4 linked regions of the Rhinolophus ferrumequinum genome follow. The protein of the gene in region 1 purifies or fractionates together with the protein of each later gene. This does not show direct contact. Links are inferred from orthologs where the notes say so. Each region holds a gene or a part of one and is shown in the gene's direction. Other genes may lie near its edges. The genes, in order: CUL4B, COPS9, WDTC1 and DCAF10.

Region 1 (7,099 bases):
CATTAGAGAAATGCAAATAAAAACCACAATGATATACCACCTCACCCCAGTCAAAATGGCTATCATTAATAAATCAACAAACAACAAGTGCTGGCGAGAATGTGGAGAAAAGGGAACCCTCGTGCACTGTTGGTGGGATTGCAGATTGGTGCAGCCACTATGGAAAATAGTACGGAGGAATCTCAAATATCTGAAAATGGAACTACCTTATGACCCAGTAATTCAACTCCTAGGTATGTATATGGAGAAATCCAAAACTCTAATTCAAAAAAATGTATGCACCCCTATGTTTACTGCAGCACTATACACAATAGCCAAGACATGGAAACCGAAATACCCATCGGTAGACGACTGGATTAAGAAAATGTGGTACATTTATACAATGGAGTATTACGCAGCCATAAAGAAGAAAGAAATCTTACCATTTGCAACAGTATGGATGGATCTAGAGAACATTATGCTAAGTGAAATAAGTCAGACAGAGAAAGACAAATACCATATGATCTCACGTATATGTGGAATCTGAAGAAAAGAATAAATGAATGAACTAATCAGAAACAGTCTCAGAGACATAGAGGAAAAACTGAAGTTTGCTAGATGGGAGGGGGTGTAGGGATAAGGGGGAAGGTCAGGGGATTAGAAAGCACAATAGGTAACCACAAGATTGCCACGGGGATATGAAAGTCAATTTGGGGAATGTAATCAATAATGTTGTAAAGATTTTGTAGGGTATCCAATGGACACTTGTCCCATTAGGGAGACCACCTCAGGGAAGATGTAGATGCCTGATCACTGCACTGTACACCTGAAGCTGAAGCTGAACAATAATGAATATCAACTACAATTTTATATATATAATAAATATATATATATATATGTGTGTATATATATATATATATTTACAAGAATTGGAGTACAGCCTTAGGAATAGAGACAGTGGAAATGCCATGGCTGTGTGTGATGTCAGAGGGATAGTGGATCGGGGGAGGGGGGTTATCACTGTGTGAGGGATATAAATGATAAATGTCTATTACATTGTTTTGTGCACCTGAAACTACTAAAAACAAAATGTCTCCTGTGTTTACCAACATTAAGTACCTGTAGTACGTGTACTACTTCTGCCCAGAAGAAAGTAGATCTTTTTTGTTGAAGAAATCTGGTTTTTCATCTCGTACATTTACCCAGTCTGGTGCAAATAGTCTCATCCTGTTTCCTTTAATATGTTTCTCTGTCCTTTGTGCTCCTTATAAACGGGTAGTTGTGTCAAAAGTAGATTTTATTATTCCAGTGAACTGTTGTAGAAAGCCATGTTCATTTCCCAAAGGCCTTTGCAGTGATTTCGAAAATTCGAGTGCTCACATGCTACTGAATCTCCAATTACTGGAAATTAATGACTTCTCATTATGAATAATGCATACACTTGGGAGGAGGGCTTTACCAAAAATGCATTGTTTCAGTTTTGAATGCAATCTTGCCTTACTTACCTACTGGGTACATGAAGGCAACTAAACTCAAAAGCAACCCTCCCCCACAAGGTGCAGGTTAATATGTTTAGTGAAATGTTTAGTGCAGGTTACTGAAATAAGATGTTTATTTTATGCTTAATATTCCACTACATGGCTGTATCATAATTACTTAAACCATTCTCTTATTGGTGGATGTTCCCCACTTTTGCTATTTTATAAACAACAATGTATTTGCCCTTATACATTTAGCCTTACATTCTGGTGCTTTAATTTCTGGGGGAGAGATTACCTGAAGCAGGTTTGCTGGGCCAAAGAGTATAAATATTCTTAATTTTAACAGATATTAATTGCATGCATTTTTAAGTTAGGGCTATAACGTAGAATGGTGTTCTAAAACTGCAATCACCTAACTGCAAGTCCATCATCACACTAACTTCATTTCCAATGCTAAAAATATTTAAGCTCTGCTTTAAGTAGAGAACTGGGTTTTTAGGCAATCTCCCATTAACAGTGCTTTTGGTGTTGAAAATCCTGAGGTTTATTCTGTTTCTTGTAGCAATATTTCCAGTTTGGTTAACCTCCCTGTACTAGACATAAGATGCATTGTATTTATTTTTTCATTAGTTTCAGGTGTACAAAGTGACATAGTGATTAGACATTTATATACCTCACAAAGTAATAACCTCCATATGTCTATGTCCCATCTGACAGTGTTCAGTTTTTACAATATCATTGACTATATTCCCCATACTGTACTGTACATCCCTGTGACTCTTGTCACTACCAATTTGTATTTCTTAACTGCCTGGTCGTCACTGTCTCTGAATCCTGAGTGTCATTTCTATCTGTCCTTCATTGGTGCCTTTTGGCAAGAAGAGACTGGTTCTCTGCATTCTTTAAAAGAAGTATCTTTCCGTCTTGCCCATTTTGTACCTCTAATTTTGTCCCTTTATTTGCTGGTCTTCAAAAGTAACAAATGCTTGTTATATCCAGTGAAACAACACAATAGGAGGATGTATAAAGAGAAAGTTAATCACCCACACCTCGACCTCCTGATGTAATCAATAGTAACAGCTTGCTGAGGAGCCTTCCACAACTCTTTGCTCATACAAACAGATCAAATATATGTGCACACATAGAAAACTCTGTTCATTTTCAGCAAAGTATAATCATACTATACACATTATTCCGCAACTTGTGTCACTTAACTATATACATATACATATGCACATACATACACATATATCTACATATGTGAAAATAGACAATATATATTATTTAACAAAATACAGTGAATATACTCTGCAGTCTTAAGTTCCTTTCCAGTTCTAAAATTCATTTTTGTATTTCTTTAAAGGACATAACACTATTGTAATTATTTGTAATGAATTGTTTAATGCCTTTCTTCTCTGCTAGACTGACAGCTCCATGAAGGCAGGGGACTAATTTTGTTCACCACTGTAACTCCAGAATTTAGGAGTGCTGTCAGGATAGTAATTGCCTAAAATCGATTTGTTCATTGTCTCAGTGCTTCTTGAAACCTTCAGTCTACTTAAACTAGGTCATTGCCAATAGTCAAATATACGTGTCTTTAGGAGCTCAGGTATGGAGTAAGTCACCACTCAGTGTTATTTGGATGGAAGCTAGTTAACAGTACGTTTTAAATATTTGTAAGAATTTGTACTGTTTTAGCAAAACCCGTCTGTCACAAAAATGAATTTAAAATGGAAGATGGCATGTTTAGTGCAATTTAGGAGACCTAGGTTCTAGTCCTACCTCTGCCATTAATTTCTCTGTGGCCTTTAGAAAGTGCTTTATCCTTTCTGGTCCTGGTTCCTCATCTGTAGCTCTAGCATTCATTAATTTCAAAAACGTGTACTGTCTACTACAGGCTAGCAGCAGGCTAAGTGCTAGTGATACAGGGGTAAAAAATAATAGCCAAAATTCAATGAATGCTTACTTTATGTTTGGTCTTTTGTTGGAGTCATATGCACTATCTCATTTAACCTCCTATGAGATAGCACTACCGTGATATTTTCTGTACTTTACAAAGGAGGGAACTGAAGCATAATGAGGTGAAGCCACTTTTCTAGCATACCAAAGGGAACGGTGAAGATGGATTGGATTCCAGACAGTGGAGCTTCAGATGTCCTTCCAATGACCACAGTGAATCCTTGCCTTCATAATTCGATGTCTATTTCAGTCGCTTCCATTTTGGCCCAAGTCGCTTTCATTTTGGCCCAAGGAGTAACGGAAGAGTACATTTGAGAAACCATTGAAAGGTGTGCCACAAGAGCTGCAACCAGCAATGCTCTTCCTTGCTCTCGCAGCTTTCACGCCCGGAAAATGAAGAGGTGGGAGGTATCAGCAGGTCCTACGCCTGCACACTTCTCTAGGCGTCCCATTGGTACAGGCGAGCGTGCGGATCAAGCCAGCAGGACGCGCCTCTCTGACCTCAGCAGAGGGCGGGGAGAAAGGACGCGCTGCGTGCGCGGTGCGTGGGCGCTGTGCGCGCGCTTGGTCCTTCCGACGTCTGCGCTGGCCGATGTCTCCGCCTGGCCGAGGGCTCGTTTGCCCCGCCCCGCTGCCAGCGCTGTCGCGGCGTCCACTTCCTGGCCCTACCCACCTCTAGCGAAACCAACGAGGTTACACCGCCTGCATCTAGAGCAGCCCGACCAGGAGCGTACCCGAGGGGCGCGCGCGAACGTGAGAGGAAAGCCGTGCGCGGGTGTGTTTTCCCGCCCCTGAACCGTTCTAGACGCTGGTGAGTGCTGGGGGCATCGGCCTGCATCTGGAGCGGCCCCCGAAGCGGCCCAACCCCGCCCTTCTTTGGGGGATGGCCTGGGCCCTGGCCCACTCCCAGCATGCTCTATGCGGGGTACCCGGGCAGGTGCAGTGGGAGTAGTGCGGGCGGTAGACCGAGAGCCGCCTTCTTGAAGGCCCTCTTTGGCCCCGCAATGGGATCTTGAAGTGACCATGTCCTCCCTCCTGGTTTCCGTTTCGTCCTCCCTTTTCTATACTCCACCCCAACCATCTTCACCTTCTAAAACGATGCATCTCAGAAAACACTGATATTGTCTGCTTTATTTGTGCCTGTGTGCAGTTTAAGTTTCCCCCTCTTCTGCACCAAATATGCTATCATGTGCATCTCCCGTGTTACATTTTTTGCCACCCTGATTTAAAAAAACGATCTCTTTGTAATAATTGGTGCAAATAAGCCATAAGTAGTGACCCCATCGAGAAGAATTCTGACATACATATGCATTATTAAGCTAAGAGACACGTATGAATTATCATATATTAGCCAGAAATGAAAATAGCATAATATGAAGTGCGAAAATTCTATCTAAATCAATTTTAGAGTGCATCTGACAATTCTAATATTAAGCAGAGCTTGTGTCCTGTCAATTCTCTTTTCCTTCTTAGAGCTGTGTTTATTGACCAAGTTCTGTGAGTGGCACAGGAAAACCATCCTGCCTCTTTCCCCACCCCCACACCCACACTCAGGAATTACATCTGCCAAGCTATTCCACACCTTGTCCTTCTAGTACAAGTCCAAGTCCATTTCCTGTAGAAGAATATCACGGGATGGTTTCCTCGTAGCAGTGTAGTGATGTCGTGTCCAAAGTGTCAGCTATGGTTAAAAATCCCACAGGTTTTTGTTTGTTTTTTTGATTTGTAGGAAAACAAGGTTATTCAGTAACTTATTTATTAAATTCTCGGTAATATCAGTAAATTCTCAAATGGCTCAGGGGCAGTAGAAGCACTGTTGAGATCATTATTCTGTAATAGAAAAGGCATTAAATTGATGTCAGGAGATCTGATTTCTAGTTCAGTTCTACCACTAACTAACTCTGTGACTTTGGGTCAGTTACTTAAACTCTCTGGACCCTCTCCCTAGCTGTAAAATGAGAGAAATTACATTAGGTAGCTTCTAAGACCCTTTTCAACTTTAAGAGACAAAGGGAGAATCTCAGTAGCTAAGTACACCATTCCTTGTGGAGATAGAGGGGAGATTGTGAAAATCTCGACAGTTCTATTTAATGTTGGGTTTTCTTTTAATTTATAATTTAAGTAAAAGTGTAAACTTTTCTCCTTTTACTTCCCCAAAGAATAAGAAAATGCCTTGGAGGAAGTAAAACTGTTCATTAATGGTTCCCCAGAATGGTGCCCCAAATTATCATTCAAATAATTTAACTATTTTCATTGTGGGCTTTGATTACATGAGTTAGTTGGGATACTGTATTGGAAACCATTTAGTCTTAGGAACAATAGGGTAAATATTAACATACACTGTGTCAATTTCAAGAAACTTGCTTTACATGTACTCAAAACACCTAAGGACAACAATCATCAGTTAAATAAAGCACTAGGTTGAGAACAAAAATGCCAGCACAGATACCATTGATTTGCCAATTGTGGGTGGTTTTATCTGTTCAATTTAAGATTTTGATGTAAAAGTCTGTATCTGAAGAGGTATTTAAATAATATAATGCAAGCTTCTGATACGAAATTCCTTTAAACAGAATGATGGAAGAATAATCTATGTAACATTGGCTACTCGAGTTAATGCTTTTAGTACTTGGTTAATTAAATCCCCATAGATGAAATACAAAAATAGCCTCCCAGAAAATTCTGCAGAGAGGTGTTGCTGCAAAGTTCCAGTTTATACTGAACAGTATAAATTGGAAGCTAATTATTATTAGACCCTTTGGTACTTACATGCAACTAACTTGATTTCAAATTTGGGAACCTTTATTTAATGTTAAGACCAAAATGTAAGTATACATATGGAATACCAAATCAAATCACTAGGTTAATCCTTTTCTTTTAAGTATCCTAAGGATTTTTTTCTTCTTTATAGGAAAAATGCTTTCTGAAAGCAGTTCATTTTTGAAGGGTGTGATGCTGGGAAGCATTTTCTGTGCCTTGATCACTATGCTAGGACACATTAGAATTGGTTATGGAAATAGAATGTACCACCATGAGCATCATCACCTACAAGCTCCTAAGAAAGAAGATATCTTGAAAATTTCAGAGGATGAACGCATGGAGCTCAGTAAGAGCTTTCGGGTATACTGTATCATCCTTGTAAAACCCAAAGATGTGAGTCTTTGGGCTGCAGTGAAGGAGACTTGGACCAAACACTGTGACAAAGCGGAGTTCTTCAGTTCTGAAAATGTTAAAGTGTTTGAGTCAATTAACATGGAAACAAATGACATGTGGTTAATAATGAGAAAAGCTTACAAATACACCTTTGATAAATATAGAGACCAGTACAACTGGTTCTTCCTTGCACGCCCCTCCACGTTTGCTATTATTGAAAACTTAAAGTATTTTTTGTTAAAAAAGGATCCATCACAACCTTTCTATCTGGGCCACACTATAAAATCTGGAGACTTTGAATATGTGAGTGTAGAAGGAGGAATTGTCTTAAGTATAGAATCAATGAAAAGACTTAACAGCCTTCTCAGTGTCCCTGAAAAGTGTCCTGAACAGGGAGGGATGATTTGGAAGATATCTGAAGATAAGCAGCTAGCAGTCTGCCTGAAATATGCTGGAGTGTTTGCAGAAAATGCAGAAGATTCTGAAGGAAAAAATGTATTTAATACCAAATCTGTTGGGCTTTTTAT
Region 2 (7,824 bases), on another chromosome or scaffold:
GCCTGGCTGGGCAGCTCTGTGATTGCCCAGTCCATGGGGGTCAGGGGGCGGGGGAATCTCAGTCTCAGTATCAGACTTAGACCATTTTTCTCTCCCGGGGGAGAGGAAATGGGTTTATTTCGAGTCCCGATGTTGAATTCAGTCATACAAATCTTAGAAGTCGCCTGAGAAAGATGTTTTTCTCCAATTTGATCTTTGGATCAGATTCCCAAACGTGGACGCGTGCAGTTCCACTGCCAGCAGCGTCACACAAGCCCCGGGTCCTCTGGCGGGGGATGAAATATTCAGTTTGATGGTTCACGTAGGTGACGTCCGTCCTTGTCCTGGTGTTTATAAAGCGGAGCCTGTGTGCTGGCAGCAGGCGACCATCAGCTGCGAGACTGAGGCTGAGGACAGGAGCAGAGCGAGGTGGCCAGGTAACCTCAGGGAGGGCAGCAGATGGAGGTGCGGTTTCTTAAATTGTTGAAATTAAACAGGGCCAGAGCAACGCAGGGTTTAGCCTCAGAATAATACTTTGAAGGCACTGAAATTAAAACTGCTATGAAAACACTAAGAAGTTGTCTTTTCACCGGAGCTGTTTTCCCGGGAGTTGTCCACTTTGGGGGTGGCAGGAAGAAGCCGGGGCACTGACGGGTGGGTGGTCTCACCCTCTGGATTCCTCCTGCTGCAGGCGGACCTGAGCCAGTCAGCGGGTCAGTGGGGATGAGTCTGAGGAAGATGAAAACCTTCCTGCTGCACGGGGTGGCCCTCTGCCTCCTGCTGGTGCCTCTGGCAGGTGAGAGGCTCCCTGTCCTCCTGCATGCTCCCCTCTGCGCCTCGTCCCCCTGCCACCAGGGCAGCTGATGTGTGGTGAGACCGCCCCGGGGGTTCTCCTGGGTGACTGTTCTCCTCTTCCTTTGCAGGGGCCAAGCCTGTGCAGGAGGAGGGAGGTATTGTATCTTCCTCCCATTTCTTCTCTTGTCTGGTGGGGCTGGGGGAAGGAGAGGGACTGGGTGGGAGCTGCTTCTTATTCCAAGCAGCTGAAGGGGACCCCTGGGTCCGCTCCAGGCCCAGCTGTGCGAGCAGAGGGACTGGCGCCTCTTTCCCAGGCCCTGCCCTCCAGGCCCCGGGGGACACATCAGATAGGGGCCACTCAGGGCTCTGCATGGTGTTGGGACCCTCTGAGCCCCTGAGGACACTGACATTCCCACCCTCGGACCCAGAGTTCTAGCTCAGTGCAGTAACATACAGGTTCCAGGGCTGGGGGCTGTGGTCTCCTTTGAAATCCCACTAGGACAGCCCCACGTCCTTCCCACAGCACTCCCTCCCCGCTCAGCATCTCCAGGGAGGCCAGACTTTCCCCACCTTCTCCGCCTCCTCCTCTGTCCCCCACACCAGGAGTCCAAGGGGCAGGGCCTGGGTCATCCCCCATTGCTGCCCCAATAACCAGGCTCCAGGGTGCTTCCGGGAGGACCTGGGGTGGCCCAGCCGCACTCCCAGCCAAGACGGTCCCCTCACCGCGCTGGCTCTGCTGAGCACCTTCACCTGCCTGAGGCCTCCATGGGGGTGGCCAGGGGGCAGGATGAGTGGCACAGCCCTGAGGCCGGCTATTGTGTCTTTCAGACCCCTACGCTGAGCTGCCGGCCATGCCCTACTGGCCTTTCTCCACGTCTGACTTCTGGAACTATGTGTACTTCTTCCAGACGCTGGGGGCCTACCCCCAGATCGACGAAATGGCCCGCACCTTCTTTGCTCACTTCCCCCTGGGGAACACCCTGGGCTTCCATGTCCCCTATCAGGAGGACTGAGAGGTCCCCAGCCTGGCGCCCTGGGGCAGAGAGGGACCCCGAGGGGATTTGGGTCTGGCCTCAGCTCAATAAACTCCTGACTTAAAATGCACAACACACGTTTGTGGTTTTCTTTCAAGAGACAGCTCCACTCAGGACCCATTTCCTTTCTCTTTCGGCCCAGGAAGCTGCTCCTTTGACCGTCAGCGAGCACTTCTTTGATAAGCATGTACACAGTTTCTGTCCATAGAAGACACAGCAGCTCTAGCTCAGGACTCGCTGCTTTGTGTCCCCCGTCATCTCATCCTCACCCTGACCCTAGGAGCGGTGCTGCAGGTCCCCCAGAGTGTGGGTGGGGGAACTGAGGCAAAGAGACACCAGGTAACTGGCTGAGCTGTTGATGGACCCAGGCCCATCCAGGCAGCTTCACCCCAGAGCCCCTGCCCTTAGCCACTAAGCTGGATAGCAGCCAGACCTGCAGCGGCCACCCCTGGGCAGGCCCTGCCTGGACAGCCCCCCTCACACTCGGCACTCTCCTGAGGGCGGTTTACACCAGGCAGCAGGGGTTCCGTCTCTGTGGAAGGGTCAGGGCGCTGGGAGCACTAGGTCTGCCCACCCTGTGCTCTCCGGAGGAAGAGGAAGGATGGACAGGCAGCATGGACGGCGTCTCAGGGACCAGACTCTCCTACGGGGACACCTGCAGTGCAGATGGTGAGCCATCGCAGGCAGGTGTGCAAGCTGGAGACCCTGCAGGTCACACCCTGTCAGATGGAAGAAACTAATGGGCTGCAACCAGAGTTTCTACTAAAATAAAATAATAGAAAGTATGATGTATTTCACTACAGATACTGGTATGTGTGCTAAAGTCTAGCTACAGAAACTGTGACTCATAATAAGAATTACGTAGGGCTTTGTGAAACTTGTGTGCTACCCATTCTATCTGGGAGGAAATACGTGATGGCGCTGGATTTGGTCCTGCGTGCTATCCGTCCGGGAGGCTTGGTAGGCAGTCCTTTAAGATGAGTGAGGCAATTTCTGCTGCTCAGAGCAAGAGTCGAGTTATCTCAAGCAGTAGGGGACGTAACTGTGAGAATTCTCATAGCAACAGTGTCTTGGGGGGTACTTCCTGGGACCCAGGCACGGACCCCAGCAGGGCTGTGAGGGCCCTGGAAAGGGGGAGGTTGCCGCGGTGCCCAGAGCAGCAGGGCTCGGCCCCTCCTGTGGTCACCCCCCTCACCCCAGCCCGCCACAGGCTTGCTGCCCTCTCACCTCCACCTCCTGTGACCACCTGGTGGGTTCTCTCCCTGTGCCCCTGATTAAATTCTCAACAAGAAGACTAACTAATTGCTTTGGGGAAGCCCATACATTCTTTGTCTCTTTCTTTCCCTCCCTTGAACTAGTTTGAATTTGGTTTCTGTAAGTTAGCTGCATTTTTTGAGAGAAAAAAAATTCCTGATTCATATAACAGCTGGACATGAGGTTTTGTCATAAGTTCCCACTGGGGACAACTGGGTCTCGATCCATCAGACCAGAGAAAAGATGCTCTTGGCAGCTGGATTTCCCCGGTAGTGACGTGTGTGTGTGTGTGTGTGTGTGTGTGTGTGTGCTTGCACACCTCGCTGGCAGGTGTGCAAGCATTAAAGAATGGTGGCCCCCTCTGTCTCTCTGTCGGCTGCTCGGAAAGTCCCTAATCCTGGGTGCCTTCCTGGGCAGACCCCATGGTGCTCTGGCCAGAACTATGTCCCGTCTCAGGAGTCAGCAGCACCCCATAGCTGCCAGGGGACACACAGCTGGGCCACATTTATGTGTCTTTAAAGGCCCAGCTGACCCTCCCTCTTTTCTCAGAGGATGAAGCCTGCACCCCCCACATCCCCCAGACCCCACGCCCACTAGGTAACAGGCTGCCCGCCTTGCAGCTCCCGGGGCACCTCACTGCCGTGTTTAGGACTCAGATTTGGCAAGAACCCCTCCTGTTCATCTCAGCACACAGCAGGTTCAGTTCTCTTCTATGCACCCCCTCTTGTAGTCAGAACTTGTGGGGGACCCTTCCACTTCCTGCCCATGTTCTCAGCCCCCTTTACCCCTCAACACTCCACTGTTGAGCTTCTCGCCACGAACAAGCGTGAGCCATGGCCACCATTGTCCCATCCCTGCCATGGTCACTGCTGGCCTGATGGCTGGGGGATTCGTCTGTCGATGGATAGATACCCAAGTTGTTTCTACGTTTAAGCTGATGTGAATGATACTGTGAACACGGGTATGAAAATTCTCTCGTTAAGACCCTGCTTTCAATTTGGGGTATAAATCCAGAAGTGGGATTGCTGGAGCACATGGTAGTTCTATGTTTAATTCCTGCGGAACTGCCCCAGTGTCTTCCCCAGCGGCTGCACCATTTTAGAGTCCCACAGCAGTGCACAGGGGTTCCAGTTTCCCCACATCCTCCCCAATACTTGTTATTTTCTGGAGGCTTTTATCCTGATAGGTGTGAGGTGGCATCTCATTGGGTTTTGATTTGCATTTTCCTGGTCAGTGACATTGAGCATTTTTTCATGGGCTTGTTTACCATTCGTGTATCTTTGGAGAAATGTCCTTATTCACGTCTTTTGCTCAGTTTTGCATCTGGTTGTTGTTGTTGTTGTTGAATTTTAGTTCTCTATACATTCTGGGCGTTAACGCCGTCTCAGATTTATGATTCGCAAACATTTCCTCCTATCCTGTGGATTGCCTCTTCACTCTGCTGACCATTCACATTCTTTAATGAGAATTTCTTGGGCACCTTTCTGTGCCAGGTGCTTTGGGCTGAATTGTCTGTGGCTATGGGCCACCAATAAGTCACTGAGCAGTTCCCCTTGTGCCTGACAAGCAGGCGGGAAACCCCGTCCACCTCAGCTGGGACCAGGGCCAGCCCTGTGGGTCCAAACCAAAGGCCAGAGGAAAGCATAGAGTCGGCGGTCCTCCTGGGTCTAGACCTGCCAGAGAAAGGGGGGCGGGGAGGGGGAGGAGAAAAAAAAACGAAACAAAACAAAAACACCATAGAGTCGGTGACCCTCCGGCGTATAGACCTGCCGCGGCTGAGCGCACATCGGAAGAGGCGGCCGCTGCGCCGGAAGTCAGGCGGGGACGCCCGGAGCGCCGCGAAGGAGATGAAGCCGGCGGTGGACGAGATGTTCCCCGAGGGCGCCGGGCCCTACGTGGACCTGGACGAGGTGAGGCGGGAGGCCGCGGGCCGGGCGGGGCCGGACTGTCGGGAGGGACGGCCCCACCGCCCCGCCGCGTCCCCTGCCCCGACGGCTCTGAACCCAAACCCAAGCCTAACTCGGGTCCCGAGCACCGGTGAGGGTGCGGGGTCGGCGGCGCGGGGGGTCGCCGGGCTGGGGTCTGGGTGCGCGTCGTCGGGAGGCGGCGGGGCGTCCCCGGGGCGTCGTGCGGTGTCATCTGGGCAGAGGCCGGGGGAGAAGCTGGGCGGGGGCTCGGCAGTTGCGTGACCGCGCGTTTTCGGGACGTTTGGCGCGGCGACCGCGCTGCGTCCTGCAGTTACAGAGGCGTAAGGTGGCCTCGCGTGTTCCTGTCCGCCGTGGTCACAGGCAGAGTCTGTGCGTGAGCTGGGAGCTGCAGAGCCGGCCCGGCACAGTGTCGGGCCCACGCGCGACGGCAGGGCCTCGTTTTCTGTCTCAAAGCCGAGCGGGGACACAGCCGTCCCCGCGCGCCTGCAGGTCACGGCACGGCAGGCAGGGCCGACTGCAGACACTGTGTCACGGGAAGGTGCAGGCGCCGTGCTGGGGCCGCCTGCGGCCGTCGGGGAGGCCCCGCGACAGCTTAGGAGGGCTGCTGAGCGGGGCACACGCGGAGGGTCGCGCTGCTGTTTGCCCGGTGGCAGAGGGCGCAGGAGGAAGGCCTGGCGGGCGTCCCCAGGGGGTCGAGGGACGGCAGTGTCATGTCCTTTAACACGGCGGGCCTCAGGTGCCGAGAGACGGCAGGGAGGAGCCGGAGGGGGGCGGCCGGTAGCCCTGCTGGGGTGGCGGGGCCGCACCGCACCCAGCACGCCCGCCAGCCCCGGCTGCTGGGCTTGTGGAAGGCGCTGTGCGGGCAGCCGCCGGAGGGCGTTGCAGGGGGAGTGAGAGCTCGAGGACCAGGAGGGCCGGGAGCATCCGAATGAAGACAGCGCCTGCAGATGGACGCAGGGACACACTGCACACAGTGTGTCAGCGCGCAGTCTGCATGGCTCACCGGTGATGCAGAAAGCCGGCGGAGGCTGAGAGGAGATGCGGCAGGTGGAGAAGCCCGGGGTCACTGAGAGCAGCTATTCAGGGGACACGGGGCACACTCACCTACTTGAGAGCCAGGAGAAGGCGCAGCAGCCAGCCTGGGGGAAGTCGGCGGGCAGGGCTGCAGCAGGGCCTGGGGGCAGTGGGGCGGGCGCGGGGCGGCGGACTCTGCTCCGACTTCAGACGTCACCGTGTGACTCTAAGACTCCATCCAGAGCCTGAGCTCACCACAGTGCCCAGCTTTGGTCGTACTGTGGTTTTACTGCCACCATAGAGTTGTGGCACCGGGAGGTGCTGTGATGGCACCCCCTCACCAACCAGTCAGCAGGTCAGTTCCCAAGGGAAATGGTTTACTTTTTGGAAGGAGCAGGGAGCCGTCCAGAGCAGAGAGGTTGGCAGGCTCGCACATTTGCAGCCTCTGTGGCGACGTCCCGCAGAGAACTGGGACCTCCACTGGAGGTTCACGGAGAAGTGGTGTTCAGGGCAGGGCCGGGCTCTATCTAAAGGGCCAGGAGGAATCTAGGCATGCAGGACCCCAGGAGACCTGCAGTGATTCCCGGGAACTCCGCCTTCCCGCCCCTCCCACGTTTCGCCTGGAGCTAAATTTTGACTCTGCCCTGGGCACTGCTCTGCCCCTTGCCTTCCTCCTGCGTGGTGGTGTGGAGCCTGTAAGGCACTTACCACCGGTTCTCACCTGCGGAAAACGCTGCTGACAGCCTCACCTTTCCCTTCCGCAGGCAGGAGGCAGCACCGGCCTCCTGATGGACTTGGCAGCCAACGAGAAGGCAGTGCACGCAGACTTTTTCAACGGTAAGGGTGCGGAGGGGCTGCCAGTTTTCATCTGAGTGTCTCTTCTGCAGGCTGTGCCGTGGAGCGACCTTGTGACACGGATGATTTGGATCGTAGAACAGTAAAGCCCAGATCCAGTGCTGTTCTCGGAACACAGTACAGTTTATATGAAATGACAGCAGGGGCTGTTAGCACTGGCAGCCAGCCCTGTTTTTCAGGAGATAAAAATAGCATAAAATTGCTCCCAGTCTTACATTCTGGGCATTGAGTGTGAGCTGTAGACACGCTTTTGGATGCCTGAAGCCGTGGTCATGTCTGGGCCATGGCCCGCAACACTAGACATGGGCATGGGGACCCCATCAGGCGTCTCATGCCTGTTCGCTCCTGACGGCTGGTTTCTTTCCTTTCCCTGCTGTCCACTGGGTTCCTGTCCCCACGCTGCCTTTGCAGCTTTACTCCCTCCTTCCTCTGAAACCAGGGCCATTCGTGTTTCAGACCTTCAGTTACCCAGAATGTGTGTGGAGCTTTACCGAGTAAACAGCAGGCAACTTTACGTGAAATCCTCATGTGTCAGAGGACGTGTTTTTCTTGGTCTCTTCGAGTTTCTGAAGACCATGTTCCTACAGATTCTATTACTCCTTCCTGAGCGTTTGAGTCATCAGAGAAGCACAGGATCGTTCTCTGAGGAGTACTGACTGGTATTTCTCCCTTTGTCGTCCTCCTTTAACCCAAGGTGCCTGCTACTGCAAAGAACTTTTGTCACTACTAGTTAGTGGCAGCTAGGATGTTATGTTGCCATGTTCGTTTTCAAAGTACCAAAGACGGTTGGCTGCCTGAGTCCCGGTTATTTTATCGGGCTCCTTTTCAGCCGGTTGTTGCCTAAGAGGAGAAGCCAGGCTGCGTGGTTAACTGCAGTCTTCCTGGTTAAGTGCAGCCCGGCCACCCCCTGAAGCAACATCCTGTGTGCCACCAGCTCCTCTCAGACCTGGGGGCAGTGCCATGTG
Region 3 (6,913 bases), on another chromosome or scaffold:
AAAGACAGAGAGCTCACAACCTCCCAAAGTAGCCCAGCTCTATTGGTTAGAAAGTTCTCCCTAGATTAATCTGAAAACACCTATGGCTGGGAGGGGTGTCTGATTCTAAACTTAACCCTCCTGTGAGTCTCTGTTTCTTCTACGGAAAAGGGGAGTGAGAATAATACTTGACTCATAAGGTGGTTGTGAGGATCAAATGAGTTAGAGTGTGTGTGAGAATGTATATATGTGTGTGTATATAAATACATATATATACACATATATATATACACATATGTCATACATGCATACATACTCTTATTACCGTGTTTCCCTGACAATAAGACCGGGTCTTATATTAATTTTTGCTCCAAAAGATGCATTAGGGCATATTTTCAGGTGATGTCTTATTTTTTCATGTATAACAATCAACGTTTATTCAAATACAGTCATGTCATCTTCTTCTGGAACATCGTCATAACGTACTAAATGCGTCCATCTGGCTGACGGTCTTAACTGTGGCTTATTTTCGGGGTTGGTCTTATTTTCAGGGAAACATGGGTAGCAGAAAAGAGAAAGAGTGCTGAGAGAACAAGTGAGCTCCTGGTAGAAAATAATCAATAAATAATAACTGCAGCTATTATTAATATTCTTCTTCCTGTCATCCACTCCCAACAAAAAAGTTCATTCTGACAACAAATATTTACTGAGTGTCTGCTCTATGCCAAAGACTGTGCTAGGAGTCACAGAAACCTCACCCACACTTCTCTGTTGGTATTTCCAAGATCCTCTGTGACAATGCCAGCATAGAACAAGGGTTTAAAATGGGGGTTGTGGATTCAAATAATCCAGGATTTTATCCCAACTATACCACTTCCTAGCTATGTGATTTGTGAGAGTATTGCTTCATTCACTGATAAACATTAACTCCCATGGTAAATATTCAATAAATTTTGGCTAATTCAGTTTAATTGACCCAGTAACCCTAACCAGGGTTTCAGCCTAAGGAGCTATGAATAGATAATCTCAAAGTTTCTTCTAGTCCCCAAGTTTATGATTTTGTATATTCAGTGGAACATATGAGGGGAGAGATCAGGAAGCATGACCCACAACATTTTTAGGAGAAAGGCATTTCACAAAGCTAACTTCACAAGGGTAGGTTCTAAGTCCACCATATGGGGAGAAATCACCCTTTGGGAGCTCAAAGACTAACTCATACTCTTGATGTGAGCAGAGCAGGAAAAAACAAGCAACTCACGGAGTGATAAACAGGGGACAAACACTATAAATGCTAAATATGTACAGTCATTAGCCACGTAACGATGTTTTGGTCAACAATGGACCCCATACATGACAGTGCTCCCATAAGATTATAATGGAGCTGGAAAATTCCGACGGCTTAGTGAGGTCATCTGTAACGTGCAAAGTATTACTCACGAGATTGTGGTGCTGCTGGTGTAAACAAACCTGCTGCACTGCCAGTCATATAAAAGTATAGCACACAATAATTGATCATGATAATAAACAACTATATCGCAGGTTTATATATTTACTATATTATACTCTTTATTATTATTCAAGACTGTACTCTTTCTATTTATAAAAAAAAAAATGTTTGCTGTAAAACAGTATGTCGTGTTGGCACCGGTAGACTTGTGTTTAACAAACCTCTTGATTGGATTGCACTATTTTCTCTTGTGCTTGATTTAATCTTGTGTTGTTTTGTACAGTAACAGGCTGTATAGGCTTATAGCCCAGGTGTGTAGTAGGCTATTGCCATCTAGATTTGTGTAAGTATATTCTATGATGTTCACACAACAAAATCACCTAAGGCTGCATTTCTCAATGTTGCATATCCCTATCATTAAGTAGCACATTACTGTATATTCAATCTTTCCTGAGGTTTGGTGCTGCTTGATTCTCACTGGAGGGAAAGATAGTGTTCAAAAGCTCAGACTCTGGAGTCAGGAAAATCTGGGTTTCAATCTGGACTTGGATGTTATCAGCTATGTGACCCTGGGCAAGTTGCTTGTAACCTCTTAGGCCTCAGCTTCCTCTGCTGCAAAACACAGATAGCAACAGTACCTATCTAAGGAACTGTACGCATTACAGTGCTGACATAGTAATGCTCAATAAAAGCCAGTTTATTATTGTTACCCCAACAAATTTTCACCCTATAGGTGAGTAACAAGTGTTCCAATCTCAGAAGATGGCACTCACTGTCTGCCTTTTTCTGACTTGACACTCCTTGTGGGTGGGGGCCTGGTCTCTGCCTTCAGAAGTTAAGCATGATGCCTCCCTTGTCACCTCGGGAACTTCCTTAGAAAGGAGGTTAAAAGGTTGGAAACAGCTTCTTCCTCAGCAGTGCCTCTACCAGTTTCAGATGTATCTTGTCCTCTCCCATCAGCCTGAGGGTTCCCAGAGTGTGTGTGGCTGGCTCCCCTCCAGGCTACTCCGTGTAGAACTGATTCCCTTTTATTCTCTTCCTTCAAGCCTAGGAGACAAGAGTTTGGAATGTGCAGCCTCCCAGAGCAGGAAGGAGTAAGCTGAGCCTAGCTGTGGGGAGCCCTGGGGCCCCAGCCTGAGGGTCCCACAATTCTGGGGCTCTCAGAAGTCATGAGGAGGCTCTTAGCAGGACTGTGTCGGGCTCTGGGGGACAATGGGTTGCGTGTGAGGCTTCTCCCAGAAGAGACGTAAGGAAGCATCTTACGTGGATGTAGGGTGGGAGATGCGTCTTTGTAACTAATGGCAACTGGGTGGGGTGGCCCACTCTGCCGCAGCTCTTCGACGGAGGAAAAACTACGACTCCCAGGATGCCCCAGGGCTTAGCCCGGCTCTCCCGCCTGCCCACTGGCTGCGGGTTCGGCGAGCGAGCGAAGCGGATTGGTCGCGGTGGTGCGGGGCTCCCCCACTAGCAGGTTTAGTAGGCGGAAGCCGGCAGCAGACGTTGACCGGGCGCGAGGGAGGGCGGCGGGGGGGCCCAGCTCGCCATTCTGGAAACGGCCAGGCGCTCTCTCCGTAGCGTTCCCGCTGGGCTGTGAAGCGCCGGGGCGGGGCGGATGACTGCGTGGCGCAGGCGCGGAGCTGGGCTTCTCCTGGGTCCCCCAGACAGCTGGAGGAGATAAACAGTGCTGGAGGAGGGAGGGGAGTGCGTGTATGAGAGCGCGCGAGGGAGTGTGAGTGTGTGTGAGCGCGGGTGTAAGGCGGTACGCAGGGGGCGGGCGGGAGGCGCTGTCCGGCCCCGGCCAGGCGCCGGGCGGAGAGCCTGGGAAGAGGCTAGAGCTGACCGGGCCCCCCAGCCCCCTCCCCGGGATCCGTGCCCCCCCCTCCCCGGAGAGGGGCCGGGCCCCCAGACGGACATGGGCTCCTGAAGTTGCGCCGCCGCGGGGTCCTGGGAAGAGGCCTGGACAGGTACGAGGGCCGCACCCCTTGCCTTCCGGGCGCGGAGGCGAGGACTGGCTCCCGCAGCTCCGGCACACCGGCCCGCTTGCTCTGGGCCGGCCCAGCCCCTGCCGGTCCGGGGGCCTGAGCTTGCCCGTCTCGGGGCTTCGGGGTGTCCCGAAAGGGGTTCAGGCCTTACTGGGGCGTTAGGGCAGATGGGCCTGGGTGGAGGGCTGACCGGGACGGTGGCGAGAGAAAGCTCTGGGAGTCCGGGGAGGCTCTGCCGTGGGAGAGATGGAAATCGTCCCATCCCGGGACTTTGCGGAGTTTTTGTTTGACATCTGATGTGGCGCGGGTCTCAGGAAGAAAGGGGCACGCAGGTGGAAGTGCCGGGAGGGCAATGTTTGACCTGATCTGTTCTCTTAGTTTCTCTCTCTCTCTCTCTCTGTCTCTCTCTGTCTCTCTCTGTCTCTCTCTCTCTCCTTTCTGTGTGTGTGTGTGTGTGTGTGTGTGTTCGTGTTCAGGCTTCTGGCAGTCGCAGATGCCTTCAGTGACCCATCCTGGCACCAAACTGAACTCTGCCAAGGTGTTTCCACCAGGCGACTGTAGCGCCCGTACAAAGGGCCTTTACTTGGGACCGGGCTATTCATCACCCACTTCAAAGGGTAAATAGGAAGTGTGGAGTAGAAGAGAGACTGCGAACCGGCAGGATCCAATTCTTTTTACTGAAAGCTGTAGTGGGACGCCCCCTTGCCAGCCAAGTTGAATTTGCTTAGTGCCCTCTGGCTCTCTTCCGCAGGTGTACTACCAGGGTCTCTAGAAAGGAGGTATCGGTACTTATGACTAATGTCTAATAGCCTCATTTGACTGTTTTCCCCGAAGTCTTTTTCTTTTGTGACTTTCTGTAACTTATCTCTTGAGGTAGTGGAGGAGTTTAAAGTTTTCCTAAAGTTTGTGAGTTTAGAAGCCCGCTAGGATGGCTGTAGCTTCCCCATTCTTCCCAAGGATAAAGTGACAGTCCTTAAGTGTTCCCTTTAAACAAAGCCTGCCAACAGTTTTGAGAAGAAAACTCTTCTGAGGGCACATCTTGACTCAGAGACATTATGAAATCCCCACCTAGGGCACAGGTATGCCCAGTGGCCTGCCCTAAGCTTTTCTGTACCTTACAGTCCTTCTTGAGTGGCTAGTCTCTGTTCACTAAGGTGAGGAACTACTTAAGGCTATTTCTGGTTTTAGTTCTGGCTTATTCTTCTTTGTAATTCCTTATATTTTTAAAGGGATTGAATTGAATCTTGGCTGTTGCTAGATCAACTGTCACAGACCAAGGAATAACTAGTAGGGCTCCTTTGAGCTGAGTCTGAAACTAACAATGGATTTCTTTATCGTAGATTGTTGTATTTCATTGGCAGGGGGGAAACATCCTTTTTTGCCACAGCTTGTGATCATGCTGCTTTAATTCTGGGGTCCTGCTAATCCTTCCTTCTTTTGACCTATTTTGGGGGCACTTATTTTCAAGTCACGTCTCAATTTCTAGAAGCAGTGCTTTGGGTCAACTCTGCAGAATATTTGAACAACAGTCTGTATTTCTGCTTGGGACCCCTTCTTTTGGGGTTGCGGAAGGAAAGAGAATATGTGTAATGATTATGGTAATGGTGTTAACATTTACGATTTGCCAGTTTTGAGTTTGAGTTGTTACACAGCTGACAATTTTTCTAGCTGGAAGGAACTCAATATTGACTTATGGAACATCCTATGTAGGGTATTTTCCCACACCTGGACTTAAGGATCTGGAAAGATGCAACTAAAGATCTTGAAGCCCCCCCCCACTTCCCTCCCCACTAAACATTTGTGGATCTTGAGGGACCAACTGCTGGGAAGACCCAGAACTGTGACTTGAATTATTTTTATTTTCTTCTCTTCTTTTTGAATTAGGAAATGTGGCCCACATGTGGAGTCCTGGGTCTTAGAGAGGACACCATAGACAACATGTAATATGGTGATACTTAGATTTTCTTTTGGGTCACTGGTTTAATGATATGTCCTGTTTTCTTTCTTCTTTCATCCTTACCTTTCCAGATTCTCCACTGCATCTTTGGGCTGCCATTTGCAGATGGCCCACATAATTCCTTTTTAGACAACTAAGAAGAAAGCTCTTCAAAACCCCAAGCCCTAGAAGTTGCCGTCAGAAACCAACCCCTTGGTATTGTGTTTAATTCTGACTAATATGCTGTGAGAGATATGTACTAATTGGCTTATAGCCTATAAAGTGACCGGTGTTCATTGGAAGCCTGGTATATGTTGGGCCATGTCCCATGTAGTGTTCTTACTTTATCTCATTTAACCCTCATGACTGCCCTGTGAGGTTAAAATCATTTTTCCTGTTATACATATGAAGATACAGGTTCAAAGATGTTAAGTAACTTACTTAAGGTCATACAGCTAGTAAGGGAAAGGATCAAAATTCAAACCCACGTCTGTGTCCTCTGGGACTGTGGCACATGAGGAAGAGCTTAAAGGACCGAAGCTCACAGCCTGGGGGATCATGATAACTGCTTTCACATACTTGAAGAACTATCCTGCAGAAAGGGAACTGAACTTTTTCTGTGTGGTTCTGGAAAGCAGCACTAGCATCAAAGGATGGAAATTCCAAGAGGGTAGACAGCTTGGTAGGAGAGTATTTGGCTTCCTAAAAACGAAATGGGCTGCCTTGTAAGGGAGTGAGTTATCCATTATGGGAGGTATTCAAGCAGAGGCTTTGCCACTTTTTATCAAGGATGTGATAGAGGAGTTCATACTTATGTAGGTAATTGGACTAAGTGATCTGTTAGTATTTTAAATTCTGTTATGTGAAAATTATATCAAACTACTATCATTTTGATCTGTGAAAAACTAAAATGTATGTAACATTACTTTGTGCCAGGCTTGCTAGACACTTTTCCTATAATATCTCATTTAATCCTCTGAAATCCCCTATGGGTAGGTACTGTCATTTTCCCACTTTACAAATGAGGGAACAGAGGTTCCAGAAAGTTTTAAAATATGCTGGATGTTACACACCTGGTAGTAGTAGGGCTGGTATCTGAACCTATGGTCTGTACTTTCTTAGCTGTGTGACCTAGGGTAAATCATATATCCTCCTGAGCTACAGTTTCCTCTGTGAAACAAGACTTAGGACAGCACCTACCTTACAATGAGTTTATGAGGACTAAATGAGGTAATATACACTTTCCACTACACCTCACTGATTGTTCAGGTTTAGGGGTAAAAGGGGACCACTTTGGTTTCTTCAGGGTGAATTCAGACCTGACTGAAACCCTGAGTTCTAGGGTTCATTCTTTGTGCTATTAGAAATAGCTGCTGACTCCTCAAAGGGCTTTGTGACATTAGTGACTAATACCTTAAAAACATGAGGACTGAATAAGAGGAGGATTCAGCCAACAGGTTGGAGTATAGGAGGCAGTGCCAGAGACTTTGTGGAAAGAAAATTCTCACCCTATTGTAGAGTTAGATTCAGAGATCACTGTTTGCATTTTTGTATTTAATGTCTTATTTT
Region 4 (7,833 bases), on another chromosome or scaffold:
GATACGTTCCTTCTCTGCCTCTCCCTACCCCCAAGTAGTAGGTTTCCTGAGCTTAGGAAGTCTCTTCTCTCCTTTTTCCTTGTCTTTAAAAAGTGGTTGTCTAGTACCTGATGTGCCTCAGATAATGTTCCTTGAATTTAGTAACTCATTCAACACATAATTTCTTAGCAACTATATATCATATTAAGTACTCCTTTGGGGATATAGTGGTGAACAAGTCAGAAAAATGTCTAGACTTTCAAACAGCATCTAGAGAGGGGAAAACAATGAATAACTAAATAAAATAAAAGAGCAAGTTGAGTGTAGAAAGTGTTAAGTATCACGAAGAAAATAAAATAGGATAGTTGGTAGTGAGGGACTGGGAATGAATGCATAAACGAATGGGTGACTGAGGAGGTGGGTGAGCAGCTCTATCGCTAAAATATGGCTGAGCCTGCCGAGGTTCTTCCTGAGCTGCTGTCCAGGGTGTGTGGACAGGTCTCCTCCTTTTCCTCCACAGGCCAGCTCAGCAAAGCTGACAAGGAACTAATCATAGTGGTGATCAGCCAGGCCAGCAGGTGCCCATACAGTGTGGTTGTCCACAGTGCCCAGTACAGGGTCTACTCGAAGAACCCAGTGCTCTCTGACCAGGTTAGTGCCTGCCTCCCCTGTGCCAGTCTCAGGGTCTCTTCAGACCTGAGGAAAGGGAAAAGCACATGCTACTGTAAGATGCAAAGAACACATGTCTCTAGCTCTTCCCATTGCTTGAGTTCCCTTTCAGTCGCCATCACTGGCCCACCTGCTTCTGTGTGTACGTGATGTTTAGGGCTAGAGGTCAACTGAGCCCCAGCTTTGTGCCAGACCTGGTACTGGATACTTGGCATACATTCTCTCAAATGCACACAACTCCCCCTCTAGGCTGAGCCTAATTATAACCATTTTACCCTTGAGGTTCAGAGCTGTAACTTAACATGGGGCATACAGCTAGAATGTGGCAGAAACCATTTTCAAAGCATGCACTCTTTCTGTTACATTATACTGTTTGCATTTTCCAGTGCAAATGTAGTCTACCCACTAAGTTACTCCTAATGGGCCCAAGCCAGTTTTGTAGGTTTTATTTCTTACTGCTAACCCCAAGCTTGGGCCTGTCTGCCTCCCATTCTGGAACTGCCTCCATCTGCTCTTTGCCACCAAGACTAGTTGTGAAATGGGTCTCAACGCCCCAGCCAATGGCTTACCCTCTCCTTGCTTCATCCAGAGTCGGGTCATTTGGGTGTCGGAGGTCATGCTAATTCTTCCCAGAGAAATGGACTGAGGGTAGACATAGTGAACATGGGTTTGTCACCAAGCTTACAAAGTCCTACTGATCCCCATAGTGAAATTCCTGATCCTTTAGCTGGGGGGACAGAAATATCTGTTTTCTGCATTTATTCCTGAGGTTGAAGGTCATCAGTCTTCATTCCCCAATCTTCCCTCCTGGCCCTACCTGAGTGGAAACCTTGCAAACTGTTCACCGAGAGCCTCTGTTGCTATCCTGAAGATAACTTCAGGACAGATACATTATCCTCTTTCCCCTGCTCAGAGCCTTCTGCCTAAGCGCCAGACCTTTGCTCAACCAGGATCAGTTTCTCAGGCATTGCCTCCCTAGTGACCATATGGTGTGCTGTCACACCATGGTTTCCTGAACTATTCTTCTGTTTTTAGGTGTTTAGTAGTTTGTAGTATTATGCTTCAGCATGGTAATGATTATTATTAATAGTATAGTCTTTGGAATCCAATACACTTGGATTCAGATCCCAGCTCTGCTCGTCTAGCTGTGTGACCTTGGGGAAGTCTCTTCACCTCTCTGAGCTTCAGTTCCTTTGCCAATAAAATGGGAGTAGTAATAAAAAATACTACTTCCTAGGGAATTAAAGGGATAATTATCTGAGCTTTACTTTTCTCATATGAAAAGATTTGAGGTCTTTATGTACTAAGAGTGTCTGAATCTGGTTCTGAGAGTTTTGATGCTATAGGTGTTTAGTGAAGAAAGAAGTTCTTAGAGTGAGTAAAGAAGACTTCTTGGCAGAGGTGGGACTGAGCCAAAGTTCCAGGTTTGCATTCCATTGAACTTGACCAAGATATCTGTCTGGAAAATTTATTATGGCCTGACTTTGCCTCTTTACCCTTGGATTTTTTTTATTAATGCCCATGTCGTTAGGCCTGTGTTTTATTGGCTGCATTTTGATGCACAGAGATTCTGCTTCTGACTGTGTTTTCTTGCAGGTCTGTGTGAACTGGAGAAAGTCTGACCTCCCTGCTCGGGAAAAGGCAATGCTGGAGTTTGCACTTGCTATTTCCAGAGCTGATGACATAACAGATGACCATTTCAGAAAGCTTGAAGTGCATGGCTTCAACCGAGAAGATGCCTGGGACATAGCTACCATTTCAGCTTTTTATGCCATGTCCAACTGTCTTGCTAATTTTGTCAGTCTTGTTCCTAACAAAGAGTTCTATTTGATGGGCAGAACCAGTGATGTCAAAGACATCAAGAGTGATCCTGCTGCTCCCAAAGTATAAAAGCCTGAATGGAAAGGCCAATGTTTACATTTCAGGCATGTTGCATTAGAAGACATCAATGGGGAAGTAGTTTTCTGAAAACATCTAGTCAGTGGACAGGGAAGAGAGTAAATAAATTTGCTCCCTGCTTGCTTGATGAGATAGATCCTAAGTGTTGGGGATATCTAGAAACATGTGATACCTGGGCCTAGGGGAAACCTTTGCCAATTTCAGGAAACCTTTGCCAGTTGTTTACTTTTATTGTTATCTAAAAAGAGCATCAGGAGCAAAGGAGTTCAGAGGATGCTTTAAGCATTTTTGATGAACTGACATCTGTGAATTTCAGGAATTTAAAGTTGGAAAATTTTTAGCTTTCAAAAATAGTGTTACACAGAAATTGGTCTATATAGACTGTGATTTGAAATCAGTTCCTTGTTAACATGGTTGTATTTAAAGAGTCTCAAAGGCAGTGGATAAATAGGAGCAGGCATGGTTAACGTTGTTCTATCTTTAAGGCTTTCTCAGTTAATTTCCAGTGGTTTTTATACATATATATATACTGATTGGTTGTAAAATCATGGTCATTTATTTTAGTCCTTAGGTTTATTTTAGGTTTTAGTAAAGATTATTTGGAATAAGTGAGCACTTAACATTTTAAGTAGAAGCATAAAAAAAACTGGCATTACTGAAAGACTTGTTCGGTATATTACAAACACTTCTGCTTTTGGGCTAAAGTCTGTGGGTATCTTAACTTTTCAAGATTCGTATCTAATTGCTAGAGGTACATGTAAACCTATAAAATGTTTTTGTTCCCATTTGATTTCTTTGGATTCTTTAAATTGTCAGTGAACAGTTCTTATTCAGTTTTGGGGTTATATAGTGTGTTAATTTTGAATTGCCTGAACTGTGAAATCTAATTATCTTGAGCTAGCACAAAAATCTTGCAGAGCTTGGGTTTTTCTATTGGAACTGTATCTTAAATGCCTTAGAATATGGAACCCTTAAAATTAAGTTTTATTTTATTTACTGAAAAAGTTACCATTGGTGAATGTATCATGGCCAAGGTTTTGTAGGCCATAAAGTTTTAGCCATTGGCCATAACTTGGAGGTCAAGCACGGGGCCTCTATTAAATATTTGTTGCAGCTGGAAATTGTGGGTCATTAAGGGAGATTATTTGTTAATCATATGACAGACCTTTACCCCTTCTGCTCTGTGTGGGCAACATAGGGAATATCTCCAGAGGAATGGCTGCCTTATCTGAACTCAGGACGCATGCTTCTTGCCATTTTTTTGATCAGCTCGTAGACAGGAGAGCTGAGTAACTATTAACTTTCCTGCTGGGAGCACCTGCTGAATGTTCAGCCCTCTGAATCTCATTTCCTTCCTCCAGATATACTTTGGGTCTATTCTCACAGGATAGATCTTTTTACAAAGATCCTCCACAGTTTTCCTCAGTCACCAAATGTGAACCTTCTACAACACAGCTCTTGATCTAGGCTTAGAATTGTCAGTTCCTTATCTACCCCTCCTTGTACCTCAAGTTTTCCTTTATTGAAGACTACTCTTCCCAAAAAACACCCCAGTTCCTGTTAATCCTTTTATGCAGAGTTCTATGTATTTATCTTCAACAGCAGTGAAGGGCCTTGTATCTGTCATGCCCTCCATGCCCTGCCTGGGAGATTGTAAATGGGGTTGATCCTGGGCTCTGTTGCATGTAAGATAGATTTGATTCAGGTCTCCAGCTCCCCTCAGTGACTCCTGGCTGGATATATGCCTGGTTCTGCAGAGAGGAAGGCTTTGACCTTGATAAAGTTTTGACCTACTGTGCAGAAGCTGGGAATCAGGCAAATATCAGGGCACCAGTAGGCTCCATTTTCCAGGCACTGTATGGGCCAGGGCTTTTTAGTGCATAAGTTAATCAGAGTCCTTAGACTCCCAGGTTCAGTAGGCAGTACACTGTAACACTTACTATGTGTGACCTGCACATACTATGGTCATTTCTTCCCCTCGCTGATCTCAGTGTAAACTGGGGGATAACAGTACATAATCATACCCAACCTCATTGACTAGTCAGCCCCACTCATCCCCTGGCACACAGTCACGGTCGCTGACAACTACAAATTGACTCTGTTACACTAGGTGCCCAGATGCTAATTGCACCATACAGCCCCGGCCCTCTGCATTCTCAGTTGTGTACACAGACAGTTAGTCGCTCCCGACCGCCCTCGGTCGGTGTCCCGGCTTTCGCGGTCCCCGGCGGATAGTGGCCAAAGGGAGGCGCGGGTTTCCCAGCCGGCGGGGTTAGGCCGCCGCGCGCCGGAAGTGGCGGCTGGAGCGGGAGGGCCGAGGTGGCTGCCAGCGGGGCAGCGGCCGGGAGAGGGGGGGCGGGGGCGTTAGTCATGTTTCCCTTCGGGCCCGGTAGCCCCGGAGGGGACCGGGAGGCCTGGACTGAGGAGCCGGCACCCCACGGGGGACAGGTGTCAACTGCCGGGCCGCTCCCTTCCCCGCCCGCGCCGCCACTGCCCGGGGCTGACGCAGCCATTCCCCCGTCGCCCTCCCGGAGCCCTCGTCGCTCCCGCGGCCCCTCGCCGCCCCAGGCCTCGCATGCTGGGGAGATCAGGTTAGCCGGAGCACTGGAGTCCTCAGCTGCTTCCGCCCCAGGAGAGCCATTACCGCCCTCCCCGACGCGCCGGCGACCCGGGCCAGACTGCAGGGTCGGGAGCCGGGGTCGGCGCGGCCTCGGCGCCAGCCTGGGCGGCCCTGGCGCCCGGCTCTTCGGGTGGCTGAGAGAACGCAGCCTGGGCCGCGGGCTGTTTGTGGACCCGGCCCGGGACAATTTCCGCACCATGACTAACCTCTATGGTTCCATCCACCCTGCCGACTCGGTGTACCTCAGCACCCGCACCCACGGTGCCGTCTTCAACCTCGAGTACTCGCCCGACGGGTAAGCGCGGCCCCTCGGAGGGCGGGTACCCGGCTCCGCCGGGCTCGGCTGCCCGTGGGCCGCTGCCCAGGGCTCGCTTGCTCGGCCCGGGCCGGGGTGCGCGAGTCTGTTTGGCGTCGCTGGCCTCATGCCTCTGGCGCTTTCTGAAATGCTCTATCTCTGTGGGAGGCCCCATCCGGCTTTTTGAGGTCGGCCGCCGGTGGCCTCATTTGCTCACCTGGACGCCCAGGCTCTGTGAAGGGGAAATTTCTAAAGTCACTAGCAGGTCTGTCAGAACCAGTCCAAAACGGGGTTTTTTTTTTGGCACAGTAATAGATGCTCAGTAAATACACTGGATAAATGCTCATTTTTTCCCTGTCACCTTGGCATGAGTTTTTCTCACCTAAGCATGTGTCAAAGGTAGGGAGCCTGCAGATGCCTTGTACCCTGTGCTTGACTTGCCCTGAGGGGACAAGTGTGCGTTCCATTGCTCCAGTAAGATGCTAAAGACACTGCAGAGAGGTGTGTCATGATGTGGGGCATTTGTGAAGTTTCCAGGCTAGACTACATGCTTCTGTTAAGAGGAACCAGCCTTTTTCCTGGCTGATTAAATAGCTCGTGTTTGGCCTCAGTTTACTTTGTGCCAATTTTCAAAATAATGTATCTTCTTAAAACTTTGTTTTGTGAGTATGCGAACAAGTTTAACAGCAGTCAAAGAAAAGAATTTACACACAGTTCCACCATGAGACGACTTAGTTCATGTAACTCGTACCTTATCAAGGCTTCTGGATTCTTGTCATTTGCTTAGTTGTTCATTCATTCATTCCCTCATTCAGCAAATAATTGTTGAGCATTTGTATGTACCAGAGATGGAGGTTACGGTGGTGAGCAAAACCAGCTAATGGCACTGCTTTCATTGAGCTTGGGACCAATTGGTTCAACTAAATATTAATAACCATGCTAAATAATTAATAATGTATATTTACAAATTGAGATAAAGGCTTGAAGGAACCTGTTGTAGAATAGGGTGTTTGAGGTTTCCCTTAGGAAGTGACACTTAAGGAAGATCAGACAAATGAGAAGATGAGTTAGTCAAGATAGCTAGCATTGGGGAATATTTCATATGTAGGAACTGGTATATCAAAGGCATGTGTCTGGAGGGGCAGTGTATCATGTCAGAGAAGCTGAAAGATGATAGATTAACAACGCAAAGAATTTTGCTAAAGAAAGACTTAACATACAGTCAGAAAGGAGCAAAGCAACTGAGTCTGGAATCAGCCAGGTACACCCTATTCCATTTCACTGATGCAAATGCTTCTTCCTAATTACACTTGGTACTGGGATCTCTGGAGTTTCTCATTATAGCAGTTGTATGGAACTTGTAGCAATAAATTTGCACCTGAATATAGAGGAGGAAATTGGTAAAAAGAAAAACTTTTGCTGAAGTTTATTCATGGAATCTTCTCTCCCTTCTATTTCCTCAAACCAAGCCCTATTCTTAAAGCTCCTCCCAAAATACCAAGAATCTCTTCCTCATGAACATTCAGTTCCTCTCTTCTCCATATCGCAGCTCCTCTCCTCCCTCTTCCTATCTATTCTGTCAGACCTTCAGAAGTCGCTGTTTCTACTCTTGGAGGTGGGATTTTAGGTAGAGGGTGAGAGGGATAGAATGAGTTATAAAGGAGGAATTCTATTTCCAGTGATATTAGAATGAGGGATATATTATTGATAGTTCTTGTCTGAATCTGGACTGTATTTTCTCATAGAAACATTTTTGTAAAAAGTGGTTAGGCACTCTGATATTTAAAACAATTCAATAATTTTTAATTACCCAGCTAATATATACTCATTGTAGAAAACCTAGGCAATAAATGAATGAAAAGAAGCTAAACAAAACTTATGATCCCGAAGATTAATTGGATATCCCAGAAAATTTTTTCTTTGTATATGTTGATTTTAATACAAACATGGAATCATGCTATTTTGTAGCCTGCTTTTTTATACAATATATTATGAATTACCTATGTTAATATATTTCTGCAACATTTAAAATTTTTCACTAGCTTAAATAAAACCTCTGTAAACAAATATTTTAGATTTATGTCCTTATGATAAATCCCTGAAATGAATTCAGGTTATGAAGATTTTGGATACCTATTAAATTGTCCTCTCTGAAGACTATAACAATTCTCATTCCTACCAGAGACATAAATGAAAATGCTTGTCTCCTATACCCTTGCCAACATAGAACATTGCCATTCTTTTTCATTTATGTCAAGGTGATAGGTGAAAATAGTTCAGTGGCTTAAGTTTTTAGTATCTTGCTACATCTACTAATATACTCCAAATTTTTATAGCACTTAAAGTAATTTTTTAGAAAAAGTGGCATCTG

Evidence for each region.
Region 2: the proteins of CUL4B (region 1) and COPS9 purify together in Homo sapiens (affinity purification with mass spectrometry; 3 studies listed by BioGRID and IntAct, with this or other methods). This does not show direct contact. The link is inferred for Rhinolophus ferrumequinum from reciprocal best matches to the Homo sapiens genes CUL4B and COPS9.
Region 3: the proteins of CUL4B (region 1) and WDTC1 purify together in Homo sapiens (affinity purification with mass spectrometry; 4 studies listed by BioGRID and IntAct, counting the BioPlex papers as one, with this or other methods). This does not show direct contact. The link is inferred for Rhinolophus ferrumequinum from reciprocal best matches to the Homo sapiens genes CUL4B and WDTC1.
Region 4: the proteins of CUL4B (region 1) and DCAF10 purify together in Homo sapiens (affinity purification with mass spectrometry; 4 studies listed by BioGRID and IntAct, with this or other methods). This does not show direct contact. The link is inferred for Rhinolophus ferrumequinum from reciprocal best matches to the Homo sapiens genes CUL4B and DCAF10.

What each region holds. Positions count from the first base shown.
Region 1 is NC_046284.1:36,157,879-36,164,977, forward strand, and holds the start of CUL4B (cullin-4B), read left to right. Parts: upstream 1-4,098; 5' UTR 4,099-4,230; intron 4,231-6,330; exon of another isoform or gene 6,331-6,335; coding exon of another isoform or gene 6,336-7,099. Other genes in the region: C1GALT1C1 (C1GALT1-specific chaperone 1), read left to right, coding at 6,336-7,099.
Region 2 is NC_046291.1:1,141,536-1,149,359, forward strand, and holds the start of COPS9 (COP9 signalosome complex subunit 9), read left to right. Parts: upstream 1-4,817; 5' UTR 4,818-4,909; coding exon 4,910-4,972; intron 4,973-6,768; coding exon 6,769-6,841; intron 6,842-7,824. Other genes in the region: OTOS (otospiralin), read left to right, coding at 293-416, 671-775, 903-929, 1,603-1,787.
Region 3 is NC_046292.1:18,638,217-18,645,129, forward strand, and holds the start of WDTC1 (WD and tetratricopeptide repeats protein 1), read left to right. Parts: upstream 1-3,910; 5' UTR 3,911-4,025; intron 4,026-5,436; 5' UTR 5,437-5,560; intron 5,561-6,913. UniProt on the Homo sapiens protein: May function as a substrate receptor for CUL4-DDB1 E3 ubiquitin-protein ligase complex.
Region 4 is NC_046295.1:53,409,515-53,417,347, forward strand, and holds the start of DCAF10 (DDB1- and CUL4-associated factor 10), read left to right. Parts: upstream 1-4,833; 5' UTR 4,834-4,917; coding exon 4,918-5,462; intron 5,463-7,833. Other genes in the region: uncharacterized protein LOC117031691, read left to right, coding at 500-630, 2,245-2,538. UniProt on the Homo sapiens protein: May function as a substrate receptor for CUL4-DDB1 E3 ubiquitin-protein ligase complex.